Linked DNA regions of Drosophila melanogaster. The protein of the gene in region 2 interacts with the protein of the main gene of each other region in a biochemical or structural test. Each region holds a gene or a part of one and is shown on either strand. Other genes may lie near its edges. The genes, in order: DIP-iota, dpr3 and DIP-eta.

What was found.
Region 1: the proteins of dpr3 (region 2) and DIP-iota form a complex in vitro, tested with the Drosophila melanogaster proteins (one study listed by BioGRID).
Region 3: the proteins of dpr3 (region 2) and DIP-eta form a complex in vitro, tested with the Drosophila melanogaster proteins (one study listed by BioGRID).

Annotation. Positions count from the first base shown.
Region 1 is NT_033779.5:6,617,296-6,625,808, reverse strand, and holds the start of DIP-iota (Dpr-interacting protein iota), read left to right. Parts: upstream 1-4,108; 5' UTR 4,109-4,298; coding exon 4,299-4,383; intron 4,384-6,362; exon of another isoform or gene 6,363-6,729; intron 6,730-7,390; coding exon 7,391-7,634; intron 7,635-7,693; coding exon 7,694-8,049; intron 8,050-8,102; coding exon 8,103-8,384; intron 8,385-8,444; coding exon 8,445-8,513. Other genes in the region: Oatp26F (organic anion transporting polypeptide 26F), read left to right, coding at 40-228, 298-421; CG34345 (uncharacterized protein), read right to left, coding at 701-759, 816-981, 1,042-1,086, 1,153-1,673, 1,728-1,924, 1,978-2,128, 2,251-2,405, 2,466-2,686.
Region 2 is NT_033779.5:2,104,659-2,113,171, forward strand, and holds the start of dpr3 (defective proboscis extension response 3), read right to left. Parts: upstream 5,221-8,513; 5' UTR 5,068-5,220; intron 1-5,067.
Region 3 is NT_033779.5:5,613,155-5,621,667, forward strand, and holds the start of DIP-eta (Dpr-interacting protein eta), read right to left. Parts: upstream 4,793-8,513; 5' UTR 4,501-4,792; intron 2,508-4,500; exon of another isoform or gene 2,076-2,507; intron 433-2,075; 5' UTR 341-432; coding exon 220-340; intron 1-219.

The DNA.
Region 1 (8,513 bases), 4.5 Mb from region 2:
ATTAATAATAATCAAATATGCATATCTTCTTGTTTGCAGATGCGTTCAGGATGATCAGCGATCATTTGCGTTGGGTTTGCAGTGGATAAAAGTGCGACTACTGGGCACCATACCAGCTCCATTGATTTTCGGAGCCCTGATCGACGAATCCTGCATTTTGTGGCAAGAGTCCTGCGACAAGGACGCCGGAGGAGCTTGTCTAGTCTACGATAATTTCTATATCAGCCGGTATGTTCTTACTTCCATAAAAGTATAAAGTACTATAATTTAATGTATATAATCCCATAATTCCTACAGATATATGTGGCTACTGGCGTTGATCTGCAAACTGGGATCCGTGGTCTTTTTTGCTTGCGCCTGGTGGTTTTATGTGCCACCCAGTAAGCCATTGAATGCAAATGGAAAGGAAGATGTTAATTGAGGAGATAATAACCATCGAACTGAAACTTATAATTATAATGATCCAGCCAGCCATTTGGCTCATATTGTGGCTCATCATAAGCTGGCTAGCATTTTTATTCGATTAGCTATGAACCTAAGAAGTATTTTAACTTTACCAATGCGAATCTTATAAAAGATTCAGCTCATAATGCCACTTAAGATATTACGTAAGCTTATCACAATATCATTTGCACTTAAAACAACAATAAAAGCTATCTGTGTAGATTTAGAAAAGTGAAATGTTTTTAAGTTTTATAGTTTACTTGTAGCAGGGCTTCTTGAACATCTGCTCGTAGTTCAACATGCTCTTGACTAGCACTAAAAAATGAATATTTTATTGTGATATTAATTTTAAGAACTGAGATATTACCAACCCCATCGGCTGCCTACAATTGTGGGACAAACGGCGTGCCTGGTCAGCAGATTTGGGTCACCATTATTGTGGAGGTTGTACCAAAAGAGGGCGGATCCCTTCTTTGGCTGAATAGCAAGTTGGGCGCCGGGAAAGATTGTGGTGCCACCCACTGGAACATCGGTCATCTGGAAGTGTTAAATTGGTTAAATAGTACATTTTCTATAGAGTGTTGGTTTTGAACTTACGTAGAACAAGAATGTCATTAATCGATCACCTTCCTCAGTCAGTTCCTAATAGTTGTGTATGATCTAGCGATATAATGAATAATATACACTTAAATGAATCAGGTTACTTGCCGGATAAAGCTTAATGTCCATGTAATCACTGTGTTCTTGGAAATAACCACCAAGTCCATAATTGATTCTGGCCAGTGTGGTGGTATTGCCCACATCCAGGCCAGATATGTCTGCCATACGATTTACCAACGTTTTGTCCAACTTTCCGCCATCGTCGTCGGTGACTTTAATGTGAAAGAGACGATTCACCCGATCTGGAGTCGTATAGTTTGTGGTGGTGCCCAGAATCATCTCCTCTCGGGTCACATTCGTCAACTGAGCTATCTCACTGTCATAGATCACGTCGTGATATAACCAGATAAGTGGGTCTCTGCTGATCTCCTCCTCCTTTAGAGGAGCTATTCGCATAAATGGAGTGGTGGTGCTATTATAGCGACACACTAGTTGAGGTCCTGGTGGAAACTTTCCCTGGCAGCCCTGTTCAATCATAGTGGGCGATTTCCTTGGCCTTAGATGCACCAATGAATTGTTCGGGTCTTGAGAAAGTTCCTTCAGACAGTCAGTTAAGTTTTCAACGGAACCTGATGGTAAATAATTATTTATAAACACCAATATTATTGCTTCTTTGAACTTGCCTTCTTGAAGCCGACTTATGACAAACATTTTTTCGAGCTCTTTTCGTTTTGGAGCATAGAACTTAAATGCAATATTATTTTTTGGTTTGGTGAAGACACTTAAAGCTATTCGATACCATTCAGCCGCACGTCTAAATTCTGATCGTTTGTACATATAGTCTGCTAAAGCCAAGCAGTCGGAAGCTGACATTCGCGAACTATAGAATTGTTATCATTATTATCTAATAGTGTTAAAACTAAGTTATCTTACCTTAGCTGTTGACCTGCCACAAGACCCTGGGCCATATCCGATGACTTCAGGTCGTAGAAGTGTTCTATTCTATCCATTCCCATTAGGGCCTCTTCCATATCATTTGCGTGGGGTGTACGATTGATTAGCTTATTCATTTCCTCGATGTCAACTGTAAAATATTTAAATAAACCAATAGCCTGTTGTTTCATATTTAAGTGATAAAATACAAAAATGTACTTTTAGCTTCCCTTGAAATTGAGAAAACGTGCAAACATTGTATATAATCCACACCTTTTATATTTCCTTGATCCTTTAAGTAAGCAATCAACTTGGGCCAATCTTGATGAGCCCGCCTTAAAAGTCCAAAGGAATTTAGGGGATTGGACACATATTTATATCGATCCACCTTGTGATCCAAATAATTCGGAGTTAAAGAATTAATAAAACTATGTGAAAGTTAAAGTGTAATTCTAGTTTTAAGAGAGGAATTAAAATATATATCATACATTCTGAGAGTTTTGATTTTTTGTTGCAGAAAGCTAACATAGTTGTTTAAATGCTCCATATAGGAATTCTCAATCTCGCGAAGTTCAGACAGGGCTCGAATGGAATTTGAGTATATTACTTCCTGTACTACATCATTTTCGGCTTTCTTTGCTTTGCAAACTGTGAATAGGAATAATAAAATCCAGTTCAGCAGAATATAATGAAATGATCTTAGCAACATTCTGCTGCGAAAACTATATTTTTTCATTTCCTAACGAAGATACTACATTTTAAATTGATTTATATCGCTTATTCGTCAGGCCTATTTTAAATGCTGCGGTGATTGATACACTTAAGTTACACATATACACTGTTTGTATATTTAGCTTAATATAATTTAGTATTTCCCTAACAAGCCTCATAGAACATATTTCATGAGTGATTCTTGTTTCAAAAAATAGTTGTAAATTCGCTTACTTCTTTTAACAGCGCTACACAACACTATAACTTTTAGCAAAGTTATACACCGCCATAATTTTATTGTTAGGTAACATCGGAGTTGTAAACCATTTCTGTTTGCTTTTTCGAAATTTGATTTCGAGTTTCTACACAGTTAGCCAAGACACATACTTTTCATGTGTAAGTAAAAGTAAGGAAAGTTTATTTGAAAGGCTTTATTATACATCAAGCAGAAACAATTTGAAATTATCGGCAGTTTTTTAAATAAATAATTTTTAAATAATGAAAAAGTATGTTAAATCCACTAAACTAACAATTCTTGAATTTAAGTCTATTTTAAAAATATACATAACTAGTCAAGGCAATCTAATGTACGTATTGCCATTCAGATACTCTAAAACGTAAGTTTATTTTGCTGACTAATCAAATTATGAAACAAAGGTAGGATTTATCAATCACTTAGACTTCAAGATTGCATAAAAACACACTCAAATTTTAGCAAAATATTATTTAATTAAGACAGAGGCTCTGACTCAGAGGCCAGAATGAAGAAACGAAGAGAAACTTGCATGGGCCAGCAAAAGATGTGCCCCTAGGGAAAACAACAATCAAGCAAATTCCACGTGCTTATTATGATTATTGTTATCGCTATTGAAAAGCGCTAATTGTGCGCAAATAGCGGTGCGAACTTAATGCCAACTTACCGAGAAGCTCACACATGCAAACCAAGCCAGTTGGAAGTGCAAGCATCGCAGAAAAGCAGAGGAGCAGCAGCTGGAATCCGGAGGGATATGGGGGATACGGGTGAAAGTTGGGCAGAAGATGCGCGGCATTTCGGGGTTAATTAGAATGGTATTGGAGTTGGCCTTTATTCTCCGCCGCCCACAAAAAAATCACCAATAATGTGTCACTTTCCCCCGGCAACATGTCGTATACTTCATATCGTCACGTGCATATGAAAATATTACGTCGGGCGGTTTATGAATGAAACATTTACTATTGCACAGCACCGTCTTTCGGCTGCCGGGCACCTTGACTACTACTGGGCTACAACCATACCCACTAGACACACTAGAACCACCCAACCACCACCCACTACCTTCGCAAGGCCGCAGGACACATGCGCAACGCCAGTGCCGCATTTGAATTTTGAATATGAGTTTTGACACTTGATTATCAGTTCGCGACCAGTTGTACGGGTGTGCGGACGTTTGGCCACGGCAATCGGCGGAAAAAACTTCATCCGCAGAAGCGGAAAAAATACATTTGCGCTGTTGCGGCGGAAGTTGAACTTCGGCCATTTGGGCAGTGAAAGTGGCAGAGTTAAAAATTAAAGTGGGAAATCAGCAAATATTCAAAAGTTTCGCACCTTGATTGCGGTTGAGTTTTCGGCTATGGGAAGGCGATTGCCCAGCTTTTGGCTGCTGCTCCTGCAGAGCGTGTGTTTCAGCCAGGCCAGCTTTTCGGAGCTAAACAATTGTAAGTGGATCGAGGATGTGATTAACTAAAGGATAAATAAATCTGATTGCTAATAATGAAATTAGTCAGAAATATAAGATTTACTTTGAATGAAATGCATAACCCATTAAATATTAAATTAAACATTTTAAGGATAGTTTTTCTCGATTAATATGACGTTTTTTGAATGTTGTACAATTAAAAAGTATCCTGTTTACAAGCTGAACTTTTGTAACCCGCCAACACGAAATGATGAACCCAAAAGTGTACAGCTAATTGACTGCAAACTATCTAAAGCCGGAGTGGTAGCGTATAAAATGGAAGGTAGCTGGTAATCGGAAGTCCAACGAGTCCATAAGTGAATAAACTGTGGCCAACATATTCCCCAGACGGGACAGACAGGATGGCGGTGATAGGGAAAGGGAGCGGGCAGAGGGGTTTCCGGTGGAGAGCTGCGAAAGAGTAACGAGGGGTAACTTCCGCTGGGGAAAATGTGCGCCGAATAAAAAAAACAAAACAAATTTTCCTTGACTTTGGCGAGCCAAATGCGATAAATATATCAAAATTCGACAAAATTCGCATTTAAATCAATGTGCCAGATGCAAAGTAAACATAAATATTGGCAGGCTAGCCGCAGCGTGCGATAAGAAAGTGAGAAGTGGCTCAAAGGAGTGATGATGCACCGCACCGCACGATGTTCCGTGCCAACCAACCAACTCCCACCACCCACCACCCACCGCACAGCGGGCAGGCAGACAGACAGTCGCGGAAAGGCGACGTTTTCCCACTTCCTATTGCACTCTGCGATATTTTCGTTTCATTTTTTTTTCTATTCCTGGCCGGCGGTTTCTGCCGCTGAAGTGCCGCGTTTTTCGGTTGGCGGTTGCGGGTGTGGAACTGCCACTGCAGTGGGTTATTTCGCAGTTTTTACTTAACTTTTTGGCAGACATTGCGTGCTGATTGTGATTGTGATTCCTTTCGCCGGCAGACAGCTGGAGTGTCTAACAGGAGACAGGACATTCACTTTCCGTTTCAAGTTCAAGTGGCGTGGGGAAAGGACACGGCCGGATTTGCAGCGACTTCGCGGGGAAAATGCGGCTTAAGTCCTGGCCGAGCGATTCAAGCGATTCCAGCGATACAAGTCGTGCAAGAAAACAGGAAAATATATTTAACAACTCATAGTCAATTTCCCCTTATAAAATGTGGCAACAACAAAGGCGGTGCGGTGGCGAAAAAGTTAAATGCTAAATTACGCTACCTTGCAGACATAAATAAAAGAAGAAAAGTTTAACTATATGAACACACATGTATGAGTACACTCAGAATAATTTCAAAAGTAGAAATCAAAAGTAAGATATTATACATAATTACTTACCTTGTAGTTTTGTTAGCGTTTTATGTTCATTGCTCCTTTATGCATAAAAAATCTAATCAAAATCTGTTGATGCAAATATATTATTGAAATTTTTGTTTTTTTTATATTAGTTCTTTAGCTTATTATACTTTTATTTCCAGTGCAAAGTACGTTTGTGTTTTATGGCTTAAAAAGTCTCGCTCGTCCCTTTCTTCGGAATGTTTCAATATGCAAACATGCAATAACCAAATTGCAATACCAACAAAAACAGAAACCATATCAACTGAAGGCAGTCAAACAATGGCGCCTCGTTCCCCACACTCAGAGCAACTGAAGGCGGAGCCTTCGGACTCGGACTCCAAAAAAAAAGCGCCCAACTTGCGGCCAGACCCAAACATAATCGCAAATTATAGGCTCTATGGCATGGCATCCGTAGGCTACCCAATTTGATGCTAGTTTGGTGGATACCCCCCCCACACAACGCAATCAATTCGTGGTGGATGGGGGGGGTATACATAAAGGTGTAGCACAGCTTTTTACAATTTTCCAGGTACCAGCACCTGCTGCCCCCCAACCAACACACACACACATACCGCGCTCTATTAGATTTTTGCATTTTTTCGGGTTATTATTTGGTCATAATTGTAATTTAGGCGTTTGCTGGAACAGGAACAGTAGCTGGAACTGGATTCCTCGTCTCCTGGCCACAGAGTCGTGCTACTTGTTAGGCATGTGATGTGATTTCTTCCATTACTCCTGCCTCCAGCCCATTGTTGTGTTTGCGATGGTGTGGGTGGGTTCGGTTTGCGGTTGGAACTCTGGTGGTTAGATTGGCTGACGGCAACTGTCGAAGTCCTGCGGTCGGGCACCTTGACTCAAAATTATTGCGATGGGACTCGAGTTGGCCGAAGCAACAACACGCCGGAAAGCAGTAGTTTGAGTTCATAGTGTGTGAACCCAACGTGTTTATGCTATTATTTACGATAAAATCAAAACATAACTATCCCGCTGTTCAATATTATGTATGTACAATACATGAGGTACTATTTTTGAGTAAAAGTGCTCAGAAAAGAATCCATAACCAAATCATAGGTTTAAGATGATGTTCAAAACTATTGTTTCTATATATATATAATATAATCAACATATTTTACTGATTCAAAAATAGCTTCGTTTTGCTAGTTTTACAATTTGTTAGTGTTGAAGCTACTCTATTTTGCCAGAATGTAGCTGACATCTATAATTTATCTAATTATTGGATTATCTGCCGCTGTCTCGGCCTAATGTTAACCTCAAGAAATTTATGGCCGTTAAACAATTTTAAATATCGTTGACCATTTCGGCGGGCCATCTGGCAACAAACTTGGCCTAGTCTGCGTTGACATTCTGCAGAGACACGCAAAAATGTGCGAGGATAAGAAATGAAATAATTATCCTGATAATTGTGGATTAGAAAAGCTGCACATAAAAAAAGGTTATTTTTTAATTGAATTAAATGTTTGGCGTCTGAGTTCCATTAAAATACAGCAAATGCCAGTGCCTCACATTTGCAAGCCCCATAAACCACCCCAAAAGCCACCCAGCAGTTGTATATCGTCGCCCCATTTAGCGCCCTAATGATGAAAGCCATAAATGCCAAACCATTGGGCTTGGTGCCACCATCTTCCTTTGCAGCGGATCCCAAGTTCAGCGGTCCAATCAACAACTCAACAGTTCCCGTGGGACGGGATGCCCTACTCACGTGTGTTGTCCACGACCTGGTTAGCTTCAAGGTGGCCTGGCTGCGAGTGGACACGCAGACGATACTGAGCATCCAGAACCACGTCATCACCAAGAACCATCGCATCTCCATCTCCCACACGGAGCATCGGATCTGGCAGCTAAAAATACGCGATGTTCAGGAATCGGATCGCGGATGGTGAGTGAAAGTATCTATCAGATAGATGGACCATATTCTTCTACTAGCGTTTACCGTAGGTACATGTGCCAAATCAACACGGATCCCATGAAGAGCCAAATGGGCTACCTGGATGTGGTGGTGCCGCCAGACATTGTAGACTATCAAACCAGTCAGGATGTGGTTCGTTCCACGGGACAGAACGTAACACTCACTTGCAGTGCAACGGGAGTGCCCATGCCCACCATCACCTGGCGTCGCGAGGAAGCGACTCCGATACTGATTTCAGACGACGGCGATCGGGAAGTGTTCAGCGTGGAGGGTCAGAATCTCACCCTGTGGCAGGTGCAGCGCTCCCACATGGGCGCCTATCTCTGCATCGCCTCCAACGGAGTGCCACCCACAGTGAGCAAACGCGTCATGCTGGTGGTGAATTGTATGTGTGAACAAAGAGTTGGATTCAATATATAATACTGAGTTATCTTTCAGTTGCGCCCACGATCTGGACACGCTACGATACCATCTACGTGGGCCTGGGCCAGAAGCTGACGCTGGAGTGCATCACAGAATCGCAGCCGGCATCGGTGAACTTCTGGCTGAGGGATTCGCAATTGCTGCAAGGAGGTTCCTACGAGTCGGTCTCAGTGGACCACGTCTTCCGGATCGTGATGCGGATCACCCTGCGTCCAATAACGAAAAGAGATTTCGGAGAGTACATATGCAGGGCAAAGAATGCGATGGGTCAGACAGATCGGATTATAACCGTGCACCGTAAGTGAGATTATATTTCGGTTACTTAATCCCTTAGATGTAACAAATGTTGACCACCAGATAAGGCCAAGAAGCATGGACAGCACTCGCATCAAACTTCCTCCCGCGAAAGTCAGTTCATTGTCATCG
Region 2 (8,513 bases):
TTTAATTTCCGAATGTCATCCGTTCTTCTTTTTATAAATTTGATCTTACTTTGACCACTGTTAATCCATGCTAAGGTAATCGTGGAATCACTCCAAGCATAGATCTCCATTATATTGTCAATTGATCCTTTTAGTCTTTGGATTAATTCACTAAGCAGGTGAGCTGCACACAGCTCGAGTTTGGGAATTGTCTTCCTATTTTTTATAGGGTTGACTCTACTTTTGCTAGCTATTATATTAACATGAGGTCCTACTTTAGCATAGACTACTGCAGCATATGCTTTTTCGGAGGCGTCCGCAAATCCGTGAATCTGAATGACTGAAGAACTGTTTGAATTAATCCACCTTGGGATTCGAATATTCTCTAACAATAATAAATTTTCTTTATATTTTTCCCAATAATTTTTATCTTCTATGGATAATTCCTGATCCCATTCACTTTTATTTATCCAAAGTTTTTGAATAAAAAGTTTTCCTGAAACCGTGACTGGTGCCAACCATCCTAACGGATCAAATATTTTTGCTAGCGTTGATAACACAACGCGCTTATTTATATTTTTTGATTCATCATTACAATTTACGCTGAACTTAAATAAATCCTTTTGAGGTTCCCATTTTAGTCCTAAAGTTTTAACACATTCATTTTCGATAATATTGAGAACCTTATTGTCCCCTGTGTCCTCCACAGTGGTTAATATTTTGGAATTGTTGGAAATCCATTTCCTTAAGTTGAATCCAACTTTCTGCAATTCATGGGGAATTAATGTTATTAATTTATTAGCTTCTTCTACCGAATCAGCTCCAGTCATTAGGTCATCCATATAGAAATCATTCCTAATTATTGCACTAATAACTTGGTTTTTACATTTATCTGCAATATCTACCAGAACCCTGGTAGCCAAATATGGTGCAGATGCAGTTCCGTAAGTGACTGTGGTTAATTTATATGTTTTAATTTTTTCTTTTGGAGAATTTCTCCATAAAATATATTGATATTTTTGATCATTATTATCTATTTTAATTTGTCGGTACATCTTTTCAATGTCTGCCGAAACAACAAATTCCCATTTTCTCCATTTAATAATAATGTCAAAAATATCTTTTTGAACTCGTGGCCCAACCCACATTATGTCGTTCAAACTTTTGTTATTCGTAGTTTTTGCTGAAGCATCAAAAACTACTCTCAATTTGGTCGTAAGGCTTGAATCTCTAATCACTGCCTGGTGCGGTAAAAAATATTTGCCTTCATCACTCACTTCAATCATGTGTCCTAAATCCATGTATTCATTCATGAATTTAGTGTAGTCAACCTTAAGTTTTTCATTTCTTTTTAGTTTTTTCTCCAGATTCATGTAACGAGCTATCGCTTGTTTCTTTGAATCTCCTAAGGTGACATCCTCCTTGAATGGAATTGACACAATGTATCGCCCATCTGAATCTTTTTTTGTCGTTTTGATAAATTTATTTTCACAGATTTCAGACTCGATATCATCTTTTTCTTCTTCTTCCACTTCCCAGTAGCGATCTAACTCTTTTATTTCTATTGCTGTGGCTACAATGGTTTCTTTTCCTTTGGATTTTTTACATCCAGAAACTATCCACCCGAAATCAGTTTTTTGCCCAAGGAGACCGTCTATTTTTATAACTCCATTTTGCAGAATGTGAGTATATACGTTTGCTCCAATGATTAAATCAATGCGACCCGGTTTATTAAAATCGGGGTCGGCTAATTTAAAGTTCTTCCATTTTTTCTGATCAACATTAATCGTGTTGACTGGAAGTGCCTTCATAAGTTTTGGGAGAATAATTGCTTCAATTTCTAAATTTTTCGGAGAATTTCTTATCGAAATAACCGCTTTGTGCTTGGAGATGCACGTTCCTGTGGAAGATACTCCACTTATTTCAGTATGAGACCGAAATTTTTTCAATTTTAGAATCTGTGCAGACTCTTCTGAAATAATTGTGCTTTGAGAGCCACTATCAATCAATGCTCTTAATTGTTCAAAGCCTCCATACCTCGACTTTACTTGAATCAAGGCCGTGGCCAACAAGGCTTGACCTGTTGTTCTACACGTATTCACTTTTTCTGGATTATGACCTGCAAAGTGAAGTAACGTGTGGTGAGGTTTACGACAAGTCGAACAAAGCTGCTCGCTTATACATTTTTTACCAAACGGATGCCTCAGACATCTTAGGCAAATCCCATTTTTTCTTACCCAGTCAGACCGTTCTGCTGGATTCATTATTTTAAATTTATGGCATTGAATTAAATAATGCCCTGGTAGTTTGCAATATGCACAATTGTCACTATAATTTTTATTCTTGTTATTATTAATCATTTTCTTTACAGGTTTTACTTCCTGTGAGAATGATGATATAGAATTGAGCCTTTGCTCTAAAAAGTCCATGACATCAGAAAGTGCCTGTATTTCTTTTGTCTTTTTAACATGGCTTTCATATAAATTGAGTGATTCTTTATTGAATTTCCGAAGAATTATGTGAGCGAAAATTGCATCCACATCTTCTGGTAATTGTGCCTTTAATTTTATAATATAAATTGACTCGTTAATCGTGTCAATAAATGTCTTTATTTGCTTATTGGATTCTAAATTTAAATTTGGCATATCCATAAGCCTATTCATATGATCTGAGAATATGTTTCTTTTATTCTCATATCGCTTGGTCAAAAACTCCCAAGTGGCTTCATAATTTTCTCCAGAGCCGAGCAGTAAATGAGTAACCACATTTCTGGCTTCTCCTTTTAATGCTGACTTTAGATAATTAAATTTGAGAGAAGGACTGAGATCCTCTCTCACATGTATGAGCTCTGTAAAGAGTTCATTAAAAAGATCCCATTCTTTGGAATCACCAAAGAAGGTGGGAATCTGTATTTTAGGCAGGGTTGGTAACTCCTCCGCCTTAACAACCGTCGACATTTCAGCTTTATTTATTGTGCCACTGAGTCGACTATTAATGGCTGTAAGAATATTTTGTTTGTCAAATTCAAGTTCGCTAATTTCTTCTTCGAATAGCGAACTCTCAAAATGACTATTCACCTGTTCAATCAGGTTATCTATTTTATGCCATAAAAATTCAATTTTATTTTTCCTTATTTTAAGGAAATCTGGACTACTGTCTATTAGTTTAGACGTATCTTCTAGATATACTCGAAATTGGCCAACATTATTACGAAATGCCTGCTCTACTTTTAAAGCGTTGTTTTGTGCTATACCCTCTTTTTCAGGGTGACCACGCATTTCAAGGTTTAATGTAGGGGGAGGGTTTGATTTAGGGACAGTGTTTGATTTAGGGAAAGTGTTTTCTACCGACTCGCCCTTAATTTTTTCATTTTTATTTTTAATTTTTTCTAACACCATCATTATTAAATCATACTGCTTCGCGTTAAAATATTCATGATCGACAACGCCGATCTTTAACAAATTGCTATGATTAGCAATGAAACATTTTTGAAGCTCATTTAATTTTAGAATTTCTACATCTGTTAATGTTGGTTTTACTTCCAACTTTCTAATTTCCAAAATAATTTCGGACTGCTTCTTAAGGAATTGAATAGTCTTTTCTGACATCATTTTGAAAATTTTTTGTAATTTCTTAATATATATAGTACGTGTATATGTATTTTATATGTATTTATATATATATGTGTGTTTGGATAAACAGAAAATTCTTGTTTTGACTTAGCTGATGTCGTTGTTGTTGCTGCTGCTGTTGCTGCTGTTGTTGCTGCTGTTGCTACTGCTGTTGCTGCTTCTGCTGCTGCTGTTGTTGCTGCTTCTGCTGCTGGTAGAGGCTCCTTTGAATTTGACTTCCTTCTCTTCTTTAAGGCTCCGTCGATGTTTAAAGATGATTTTTTTTTTTTTTTTGGCACGTTTTATTATTTTTGTAGTCCAGTCAGATTTTTTGTTTTTTAGCCATTTATTTCGGCATTTATGCTCTTTTGGCATATACACTGCGCTCTATTTATGAGCTGATTTAATGCTATTAGAGCATTTATAAGGCACTGTTTTCAGGCACTTTTTATTTAATTTATGCTCTTATGGCATATACACTGCACTCTATTTATGAGCTGATTTAATGCTATTAGAGCATTTATAAGGCACTTTTGTTATGCACTTTTTAATTTCACAATTGCTGATGTATGGCCTCAAGCACGCCTTACCACAATTTATAATGGTACACAAAGCAACCTTTAGCTATAGACTATAAGGTGCTTGTTTTAAAACATAAAAGATTCTTTTGTATCTTTTGCTTTTTATATTTATACTCTGTTCCTTACCTTTGGTAGGGGGAAACAAGAGTCACTTATTTTTGCTACCTTTAGCTGTAAGATGCTTAAAGGAGCTGGCCTTTCTCTGAGTTCCTTACCTTTGGTAGGGGGAAACTGCAGAGTCGATTAAAGGCTCGATTGACCAAATGTAAAATCCCAAATAAGAAGACTTTACTCGTTGAGTTTTTGTAAGAAAACTGATTTTATTTGGAAATATCTTCGGTTTAAATAGGTGACATGAGAATCGCATCTTAAAGTAAATGGCCTACGCAGAGGCCTACGTAAATAGTCCCCGCCTTATCGAGGTCCCACGCTCGGGCACATCTGCCTATCTTGAGCGGCGAGGACCTTATCTGTGGTCTCCCACTAAGGGACTATTTTAGGAGGCGGGGAACGATCTCAAGTGACTGACTCATGTAGTGTGCACTTAAATTACATGTTTTTGAGCAATGCACCCATGTCGCCTTAGATAACAAAATCCTAAATATAATTTATCGCTCTCGATTCATTTACATAAGATATGAACGGAGCCCAAAATTGTAAGTCTTTAAATATATTCGTGTTCATGTGTGAACAGCCATTGATTGGCGAAAGGAGCGGGAAATGTTCCACACAATGTTTGGCGGGTGCGATGTGTCCACAGCCACCGCACAACATCGCACAATTGATGACAATCGACACTGTTCATGAATATTTAAATTTCTATTGTTGTTTCCCACTTTTCACTCCACGGGGCCATTGAAAAGTCCGCTTTCCGGCGAATCTCCTCGTTAACGCACTTCAAAATTACGCCTTTCCTTGGGTCGCCGGAAAAGTCGGAAAACACGGGAAACTCGAAAAACTCGAAAAACCGCCTAACCCACTCGATTTACCGTTGTGCGCGAAAAGGACTCGAGGTCGCGAGTGTGTGGCACTTCCGCAGCCCCTGGTTGCCGTCACAATACTGAGATCGGCGGCATGAACTACGGCGGCTACAGGCAAAGGCGAAGGTAAAAGCGAAGGCTTCCGAGGCACGTAAAAAAAAAGTTCAAAACCGACTAGGACAACAACGCGAACAGGACACTCACACGCAGGCAATCAGCCGCACACGCACACAGTCACGAGTCGGAAAAGCTTGTAAGGACCACAATTCGCCGCACTCCGAATGTGTGTTAAAGCTTCGTGAAATCCTGGGGAAATAATATCCCGCAAATATCCTTGCAGCGCAATGTGAAATGTGGGAATGGGCATTAATAAACTAAATAAATTTTAAAAATAATCATAATAAATTTAGAAAAAATATATTTAATTTTTACCTAAAAGTAAGTGCCCTAAAAGTATTATTTTTTATATCTTTAATTTTAAATATTTATATTTGGCTTAGATAATATTTTCAAAAAATTAAGAGACTTATTACCAATTTTCATACTATTTGGTCTTGCATATTCTTCCCCTGCTTTAAGTAGAAAGCAGTCTGCACTGCTTTTTAGTTTAAGTAGAATGATATATTTTTCCATAGACCATAGTCAAAAAATCTTTTAGCTGCTAAATAAATCCTACGTGTGGTAAATGCTCCTGTTTACAGTTGAAACAAAAATCCTTTCCTGCACTGCTTCCAAGGACACCCGGTCTAAAATGCCCTTACATTAGTCTAAAAATATCCTTCTTGAGATATGACTGCTTTTTAACTTCCAAATATATCCCATAAGCATGTTTACTGCTTTTCATGAACCTCTTGTTCTAAAAAGTCCATTAGGACATAAACTGCTTCTTTGTTGAGCGATAAAATCCCTTTATTCAGTGCATAAAGTTACCCCTTCAGTTTTCGCTTTATTTGAAGAAACATTTCCCCAGGCTGTTGAAACTTTTGAGAAATTGCCATATTTTGAATAGAAGTCAGTTTGCAAAATATATAAGACACTTAATGTTTCAAGTTATGAGATTATAATTTTAAGTTTAGCTTCACACTCTATAATATTTCTACAAACGCTATTAGCTTTTTAAATTCATTTTAATCCAAGTATTATGGATAATAAATAATTAAATAATAATAAATAATTAATAACCGCGAATTTTCAATGAACTTGTTATGAATTTCCTAATACCAATATATCAGCTATCCACACATAATAGGCCTAAGCTGCTCTTAATAATTTATAATCGATTGCATTTGGAGCTTAATCAATTTAAGCCACCAATTTGCAGACACCTCCTCTCGTTTACACCCAACCCCACCCCACCCCACATTCCATTGACATTTAACGTTCGTCAGAGTGAAAGCCGCCGTCTATCTATTGGCTTCCTTTTGCCCCTCACTTTCACTCAAGGTGAACTCAATTGAACATTTGCACATCAATTATTTCACAAGCAGCCAGTTTTTTTTTTCTGGGGCGTGGGAAAAAAACACGCAGCGCAGCCGGAAAAAATGAAAATAAATCCAAGCGTGGAAAAATCAGTCGGGCTGAAACTGCATTGCTCCTGCAGATCCTTTGCTGCCTTCACCTGCGGCTATCCTTTTTTTTTCTAGCCACCCGCATTGCAGATTCAATGTCAAAAATTTGACAAACTCAACAAGAAGCGAAAAGAAAAACAAAAAACGGAACAAAAACACAGCAGCTGAGAGAATTTTCCCAGGGATTTTCGCTGACGAATTTGTGGCAGGTTCATAAATCCAAACAAGCAACAACTAACTAACAAGAAGAAGCAGTAGAAGACTGGCGTCAAGAACAAGAGGCATTAAAAAATCAGGAAAACCCGAAAAATATTGCACAGCAAAAAGCCATCAAAACTTCAAAGTATTTTTATTGACTTATAATTTTTTAAGACCCAAAATACAACACAAGTATTTTTCCAGCTTAATGATAATGTTTGTTTTTATGGATCCTTTATAGTTTATTTCTCCTGCATACCCAATGTATTTTTAGTTAATTTTAGTTTTCGCATCGGTGTTGGACAAATTTGTGGTTTTTTTGGCGGCAAAATAGAGGAGTGGAGCTGGAAAAGCGAAAAAAAATGCCATACAAATCGAGAACTCGACACAAAAGTCGCTCTCAAAATTTATTCAGTCAGCGTCGAAGTTCATTTGAGTGTCATAAATCAGTTGGCCCCAGCAGAACCAGCGCCACCCACCCAGAACCACCCACGCCGTGGGAAAGTTGGAAAATGTGTGAGGCTGTTGGGTTGAACATGGATGGTGGAGGGAGGGGAGGGCGCTGGAAAGGAGGCAGGAGCATATATATAAAAGTTAACGCAAGTTCCACTTGCATCAGGGTTCTCGGCACTCGCTGCCGCATACCTCACCTTGATATGACAACCAACATGCTGTGGTTCTCCAAATAATAGTCAAGATAGTTAAGAGGGTTCGAGTTTACGATTAGCTTTATTTTAAGATTCAGTTCGCGATCTGCTAGCGGTTCCGTTATGTGTCCGTTCGACACTGGGGCCTCTTCTCCCGCCCCGCTGCTTTTATATCCGCTTCCCCCGTTGACCCCTCACCCTGAGTGCGACCAACGGCACTTGTTCCGAATGCACACATACACAAACATGTTCCTAGACAGGCCCCGAGTCGCCTGCTGACGGGGCCCGAAAACACGAGAGCCGAGCGCTGGTGAGTCCTGACGAAGATCGCAAGAAGAGGGTTCGTAACTTACACGAACATGTTACTAGACAGGCCCCGAGTCGCCTGCTGACGGGGCCCGAAAACACGAGAGCCGAGCGCTGGTGAGTCCTGACGAAGAGCGCAAGAAGAGGGTTCTTAACTCCTCCCCCCTCAAGATCTGCGTCCCGCAGATTAGTGAGCCTTGTTCAGCTCGGTTTGGCCCAATGCTTCTAAGTTTGCGGCAATCTCGCGGACATCGGGCATGCCTTTGGTGGACATCAGCTTCTTCCATAGGAAATAAAAGCCTAGGAATATGCAGATTGCGAGTGCCGCCTCGGTGAGAAGAGAGGCTAGTAGCTCACTCGCCATGTTGGACATCTTTTCCAAATTCTTCATGCTCACGTCGTGGACGTATTCCAGAGAAAGTTGAAAGTTGCTGGCCGTTATGTGGCTCAACACGGCCGGCATCGCCATTAGATGACTGACCGAGTAACTGGAATAGTTTTGACCGTTGACCATTATCGTCTCATTGTCGAATTGGATGATAAAGGAGCCGATCAGGTCGTAGTTCTCTGCAGCCGTTCTTAGAGTTCCGTTGAAGTTGGTCAGGAGGAGCATTCCATCGTCGACTTGCTTAACCACTCGTTG
Region 3 (8,513 bases), 3.5 Mb from region 2:
ATGGCAATGGAGTTATTAATGTCAAATAATGACATATTTAACTAGCTCGCAAAATATCTATTTGTGAATGCCTTGCGGCGATGTTTTGAAGTTTCTGTCAGCGTTAAATCACAATACATAAGTAATCAAATCAGTTTGGCTGATAAATGTTTCAATTAGAAACATCAATAGTTAACATTTACCATTTGTTGAATGACTTTAAAATAAGTAGGGACTTACCTATTACTTCAGCTGGCACCTCTACTCTCTGAGGATAACATTGTTGACTCATGAGGATTAGGAGCAGAATAACACTTAACGCACAGGTTTGTTTACGGCATTGACAGAAGTTTGATTGCATTTTGAATATATGGGCTTTACTTTCTTTGATTGAGTTGATTAATGACCGGAAACCATTAAGTAGTCGTATCGGATATGTCCTTTAAAGCTAGTCTAAGGAATCATGTAAAATAGAAACATTATATACACATGGAATAGAAGTTATGTATCAAAGGATATGTATACATTTTGGAAATCATGTGGTATAAAAGAGAAACCATAAGTGCAGATCCTGCCAACTAATCCCCATCACCTGTAACCGCTTCAAAATATGAAGGAGGAGGAGGAGAAGGGGTCGAGTGGGCAATATCCGCGCGCCTCGTAATTGGCAGTCATTAGCGCGCCTCTAATGGCATCAACTTCTGGCCATTGCTGTTGCTATTTATGCGTGTAAACAGGCAACAGGGCAAAGTTCAACAAAAAGTACTTGAAAACAGAATCAAAACTACGAAACAATGGCAAACAATAATCGCGATGCCGGTTGAAAATACGCCAAATTAAAAGTTTCAAGTTTAAATCCGAGCCGGAGGGCCAACGGCCTTCCTCTCCGGACGTATCCTGTGCCCTCCCCCCGGGGGCCCAGTTCAGCATATTTCCTTCTCCGGCCGGAGAACAGTGCTCTTGGCTTATTTTGCGTGTTTGGACTGTGTAAATTGTGCAGGCGAACAGCTGCCAGAAATTAACTACCAACCTGCAACTATCTTTTGGAAAAGGTGTTGCATGCTCTGCCTCTCTGCTCATTTCATTTTAGACTCGTTCTCCGTTTTGTTTCACGGCTCTTAAACGTGGCCGGTGGGCAAACCTGTTTACGGAACGGAAATGAAATGTTTCGTTGGCAGCCGCAACGTTGTGAACTCGTAAATAAAGCATCAAATCGTGCATCTTTACGGACTTCTGATGGGTCTGAAATAGTTAGGCTTATGCCGGAGTTAAGTTCGGTTCACCTTTTCCATTTTAGAAGCCTGCCCAGGTGACATGAATGACACAACTTTTGCCGGCAAATGTTACCCAATGCAGTTGTAATCAGACTTTTGCGATAATTGTTTATTGGCCCATGAGCATGCATCACATGAGCTTTTCAAATAGTTATTGGATTGGTCAAAACCATTTGCTAGGTCTATAGTTAAGAGTCTCCAACCGATAATTGTCGTTTGAATTGATAGTTAAATTGCTGTTGTCTACAAAAATGCATAAAAATACATTAGAACTACCATTAAGATCTTTATTTAACGGAAATTTATAGTTAACAGGGAATTATTTTGTGTAAAAAAAAAAACAAAAGTATCTAAAATATCTAATAAAAGTTACTATCACTATGGGCCCGGTTACTCGCTAAGATTCGCTGGTCAAGTTCTGTCGATTACTTAAATTACTATTGATAAGCTGAGGTTGAACCCTATATTTCTGTTCAAACTATTTTTACGGAACACTTAAAACTAGTTCGGGGGCAATAATAGAAGGGTGCCTGCTGCCAGACGCAGATATCAATATGTTCGAAAGTCCGCCCTTATGATTGGGGAACCTTGATTAACTTTCCAGCTGACTCGGCCATGAGCCTGAACATGCAAACGATTTCGGGTTTTGGAAAAATAAAAGTCTACTTTCTGGCGGCCGCAAACTGACAGGAACCATTTTAAACTGACATTTCATTAAAATTCCTTGTCCCCTCCCTTCGAGTTCGTATTGATTTTTTCATAATTTAGCGGAATTGAAAGCAAAGTTGCCGGCATGTGTGCTATGTGTCCTTTGTCATACACACATACACACACACACCCATACACTCACACATTTAAATCCGCATTGCATGCCCAGAAAAGTAGACTACAAAAGACAACAGGCAAACGACAGCACTGCAAATGGTTACAGGGAGGGGGTGGCGGTTGGCCTGGAACGGCGGTAGGCACTAAAAATGTCTAGCAAATGGGCCTGGCAATATTATTAATAATTTAGAGCATGCGGGCCACGTCAGGAGTCGGACTCGGAGTCAGGGACAGGTGATGGCTTCAGGCTTCAGGCCCACGGCCTGACCACAATCCGAAGCCATATCGAGGCGATTGTGTCGAAAGTACCTTCCCGCTTCTGGTGGGCAGCTCTTGGATGTTTGGTGCCATTGGATATTGATGGCGATGTAGATCACTGATGTTTATTAATTATCACGAGTTAAAAGTTTTGCTTTTCTAAATTGGCACAACAGCCTACACTGACAAAATATCTTCATTCATTCAAGCATATATAATATATATTGTGTTTCACATTCTTCTGTAATTATATAAAATTGAAAATATTTTGTAATAAATAATGGAAAGTATTTAAACAAAGCGAAAATTCAATCGAGCAATGTGATGAATGCCTAAATTGACCACAAGCAATTTTCCAAGCAAATGTGTAATTTATTTCAATTTGGATGTTTCTAAATCCTTTTCCTGTACTTATTTTGTTACCAGCTTTAAGTACAACTTATGAAAAAGCAAAAAAAGAAAATATTTATGACAAATAATAAGAGGTGCTCATGGCACCTTTGTAGTGTTCAAGCCATATATTATTTTTATGGTTTCGGACATGCACGGTCCCTTTTTCTCCAACGCTTCAATGTGTATAATCAGCTGCTGAATTATGGCAAATTTTCAGTAACCCCCCCGACAGTTTGCTTGAAGCACCTTTTGCATTTTTCCCTTTAAAACAATAATGCTGACATGTAGAAGCTTCAACTGAAATGTCATTCGCTACTACTACCAGACTTCTCGAGCTATACTTTAAATTCAATTTCCAGCGCAAACATTAATTAACACGTGATAAATATCCCGCTCTATCGCGATGCCACTTCGACATTTTTCAGAATTATTCGCCGTCTAGCTTTTTAAATTTTTTTTAATCCGGCCCAGAAAAGGGCAGCCCAGTTAACCGGACCTTGCATAAAATTTGCATAACTCATAGTGTTCAGGCTGGCAGCGCCTTCTAGAAATCAGAGTTTCGCTCGGTTTTTCACAATTTTCTCCTCCGCTCGCTTTCCAGCACGGAAGTTGATTATTATCGCTTGTTATTAACAACAGCAACAACAATGGCAGGAAAAATCCAACTCCTCACATGCCGGCCATTATGTCAAGCCGACTGAACGACGAGGCCTTGCCAACCATTTCGTTATCGCTCCGGGGGCAATTGGAATTCTTCTTATGCAATTGATACCGGAGCAGGCGGGGGAATTCGGATTAAGGGGATTACGATTTCGCAGCAGAACAACAGGGTTTTCAATCTTGAGTCAACATGTTTTAATTTCCATAATATACATATATGTATACCACTCGGCCCCACCTGGAGCGTCAGTAGACAGTGCACATTCGGCTGTGGGCGCCAACTGAAATCACAATCGAGCAGATAACAACTGATCAGAAATTATATGTAAAATGCAAATGATAGAGAAACGCCATAAATCGAAAACAGGCACCATCATGCCACCCCGGGGGAAAACCACCGAATGTGGGTTGTACAGTGTACACTGTACACATATTATTTCCGGTTCGTCCCAAAAGCGCTGCAACATATTTGCAACAAATGGCTAGCCAGCTAGACAGCAAATTGGCATGAAGCGTCGAGGGTTTGTCCTGCGCTTTATGGATATCAATGAACTTTAAATTACACTCGGGCAGCCGTGAAACATAAAATATGCAATTGTTGCCCATGTGGCCTAAACAGTGCACTCCTGCCATACGGGGACACTCGTAATAAACAGCGTCGAGTGGCGCGCCAGACACATTCACATTTGTAGGCAAATTTCACGATACACACACACACACACACAGACACGCATGCAGCTGGAATGGCAAATCATGTGACGAGCATTGACCGCCGAGGGTGGCCCGATTGTTGTTGCTTCATAAATAACTCGGGCTTTGTTTTTACTTTAAATATAATTACAGCAAACACGCAGCTGACGGCAAATGTCGCCAAAATCGCGGCTAAATTGCCAACAAGCGGCTAAAAACGCGCGCGACTCAACACGCGAGCGAATTCTACTTGTTGTCGATTTGACCTGGCCGAAATCGCTGCCAAACTATTTTCGAATGCCTTCACTGGCCGCAATCACAGCCAGCGATTAGAAAAAGGATTCCTTGCTTTCTTTCAATAGTCTTGCATGCAGATTTTAATGGAAGTTCGCATTTAACTTAATAGCTGCAGCATAACAACCTTTTTCAGAGCATTTTCTTGGCAATCTTGTATTTTTCGTGAAACTCCAAATTGCACATGTCCTGCGGCTGAGCTGTCCTGATTTTTTTTTTTTTAAATCCTGTCGAGAAATTCGCTCAGCACAAGTCACTCATGGCGTCTACAGCATCACTTCGATTCACTTGCAGCACGAATGCAACACTTGGCGGCAAAAAACACACGCGATTCCGTTAGGGATTCTGCTTGCTTGTATGCAGCAGGATTCGAAGGACTAAAGGCCAACCGCACGAACCGAGCGCCGTCGATGTACTGAAGCCAGCATTTCCGAGGGCCACCAAAGTCGCGTGGAACGACTCCCAGCGACTGCCGAGCGATGCCGAAGATGCTCCTTTGGCGAATCGTCGTCGTTTTGGGGGGTTTTGGGGGGAGTGTGGGCGCCCCAGTGGGTGGGTGGTGTTTTTTAGTGGGCGCCCGGGGGGTGGGCAGCGGCCTCGCGAACGAATCAGACAACTGTGATTTTTGTTGTTGCTGGGCCACATTTTATTTTGCTTTTTGTTGGCGGGCGCTTTTCACTTCGTGGTGCTTCTTTTTTCCTAACATGCTCTGCGCGTGTGTGTGTGCGTGTGCTGCCCAATGGGGGGCGCGCTCTCGGCTCGGTTGAATACGAATTGAATGGCATTGAAAGCCTGGGAAATTCTCTCGCCATACTTTTGGGCGCGTGAAACTGGTGGCTCGCATTTATGAATGAAATCTGTGGCAAAGGAAAGGGTTAACCCTTTTTGGGTTGGGTGAAGGGATGGTGATGGTGAGAGGGGGTGCTGATAGTAAGTAACTGTGTGAGATGAAGAAATGAATTGTCATTGGTCGTGGCGCTTGAATATGAGAGAGGGAATTATCACTTGCAATTCTGACAACTGCAATAAGTACAACAGATTATTGCCATAGGAAAATACTATATATTTTGACTTGTAGGTAGAAGAAAATGGAATGGAAGCCATCTGCAAGATGATCTTTCGCTGTCTTCTATTTTGGATCTCTTTTACGGGATTCATTTAATATAAATCAATCATTATCAGAAAATTATGCTTTAAATTTAAGTATGTATTGATAAAAAACAATGTTTCAATGGTTCGCAAGAAATAGTTTCCATAAATTTAAAGACGTAACTAAGGCCAATCTTACATCTAACTGAAATCTGTTTGAAATTCTCAAACAAAAATTTTCTAACGATATAATTTGTAGTATATATGCAGAAACAAAGTTCTTTCCAACTAAGAATTGAAATAAAATTTTTAAAATTAAATTAGTGCTTTACTAGGCCGTCTTATTTATATAAAACGATATAACAAAGTCGTTCAGCATGAAATATTATTTAATAAAATTCGCCTGCATCGTTCCGAGTCAGTTTTGATTGTTATTAAATATATTAGTGCCCCCAATACTTTGAAATATGCAACTAAAAATTGACTGCGATCGATTCAAAAATGCTTCAAAGTCCGTTCGCTATGATACATTATTTAATTAAATTTCTTCTGCTTGGTGAAACTTTTCTTTGGAGATTTCCATTATGTGTGGCAAGTGCAACAAGCGAGGCAGGAAAGTCACCCACCCACACACGCACACCAGCCAGTCGCTTTTCAATAACCGTGCCACATTGTGTCAGGCACCGTTTTGACCTGGCCACCGCCCTCTGCAACTCTAAATTGCTCATATATACTTATATATATATATATATATTTCGGGAGCTAATCAACTCCCGCCCCCTTTCCCTATCGCGTCTTTATAACAGGCATATAATTTCGCACAACACACGCACACGACCAATAAATAATAGCGATGGAAACAGTAGAAACCCACCAATAACAGATTTTATGACGTATAAAAAGGATTTATAAAGCGTCCCTGGAAGGAACTATCTATCCCGCTCCATTTCTCCATCGAAAACTTTTCATTGCGTGCCAATGCACTGGAGCCACAAATCATTTTTACCAAAAGGGTTAGCTCTACACTCGAAGAAAGAAAGTTGATTATTTTAAATTAAAATCAAAGAGATTACATATTAGAATTATTCAAGAACAAATACACTTTAATGAAATATTACGTTATGTTCAACGATGGATTTATAAATTTGACTATTCAACTATTTGAACTATTTTCTCTCAGTATATAGGGACTGGGAGGACTAGCAACTTGTTTTCAAGTTTCTTGCTTTGTTTCCTTTGCCTTGCTTCCTGGCTGGTATCCTTTTACGAGCTTGCAAGCCCCTAATATAAATTTTGACACCTGATAATTGCTTTTCACTCGCTTCCGCGTTTTTCGCTGGATGCGACGACGACAGCTGCAGTTCTTTCACCTGCCACCCGGCGGACGAATCACCTGCGCGTCTGGAGCCACCACCCACCACATCGGGACATCTGCCCACTCCCACTGATGGGGGCTCGACATGCAAAGGTGGTGGGGAAGTTGGGGTCGATGGGGAGGATCTGCAGGATGGTTTGTTAGCTGCTTAACTGCCATAAATTATGACTATATTTTCGCTTTTACGGCGCCGTTTAATAGACAAAAGTTCTGGCTGAGTTATAGAAGGAAGCGTCAAGGTTGCCAACCGGCTTAGGAAATTGCCAATTAAAAGTCTATAAAAGTGTATAATTATATGGAAATATTCGGAAATTATTCGGATCGTGCGTCCAAAATAGAGACATCAATAGGGACGCTTACTTAAATATTACTACATTGTAATTGCACCCTGTAAACTTTTTACTTATATCTTATATGATATAGTTCTTGTAAGGGCATTGAATTGTCTTCTCCAAATTCTACCCATAAATATAGAGATACTTATACTCTTAATTTTATTTATTCTCTTTGCCACTTTAGGCATAATTTGCACTCTCTTATAATTGTTTATATTCCCCACACGCACTTAGACGACTCAATCTCCTATTGAAATCCAATGATTGGATCAGTTGATATTGTCGACAGTAATTGTGAAGTTGTTTCTTCCGGCCATCGGAAATTAAAAGCCATTTAATTTTTTTTTTGTGGCGAACAGGACAGTGATATAAAGTGAATTAAGTCCTTCGACCATTTTTAATACTTACTCAATAGTTATTGGGTGAGTAGGGATCAGTTATTATTGATACGACATATTTGTGTCGATATGAACCATTTAGTTAGCACATCATAGACCCTTCAATTCGACCACTGTTTCAAAATGTTTCAATATTTCTGAGTGCCGACTACTCGCTCCTTATCCCTGATTCATTTATTGATTAGTGCTGCTCATTATGCCGGCACTGAGTCTTCTGCTTGCCCACAACTAATCACCGAAATGCCCAAAATGTTGAGACTGTCCACTGCTGGCACTTGTCACAGTTTCTCCATCCGCACGAGTGTCTCTTGATTGTGTGGGCAGCTCTGGTCATAAATTTAATATGACACCTGCAGGACGCAGGAGTACACACCCCACCCCACACTCCCCACTCCCCACTCACCACTCCGCCCCTGCCAAATGCATTATTCACACATATTTTGCTAATTAGCAAAATATTGTAAATGTTTGGATTTATGCAGGCAACTCACACACACTCAAATGCATCGGTTGGGGGCTGTTGGCCTGTGGGCTGTGTGCTGCTGGCCATCGGAGAAGTGCATCAAACTGGACCGCAATGGCTTTTGGTCGGCTCACATGGCTGGCCAGCTCCCCATGCCATCCTCCTCCGACTCCTCCTTCTCCGCCTCCTCCCCCAGCTCCACCACCTGTGTCGCCTGTGTTGATTTAATGCCCATGGTGTCGGATTCTGGGATAACTGAGCAGTAGCCTTGGGTGGCGAACGGGATGGGGGTCTTTGCGGCTGCCATAAATTTTGGTTTGGCTTTCAATCGAGCGATTGGAGCGGGTGAGTTTAATTGAATATTCTGCTGACGGAACGGCAGGCTGCGTTGTTTATTCCCGCATCGAATCGTGTTTACATTAGGCGCGACTCGACTGGATCGACTTGCAATCGGACGCCGTCGCTGGGCAGGAGTATCAA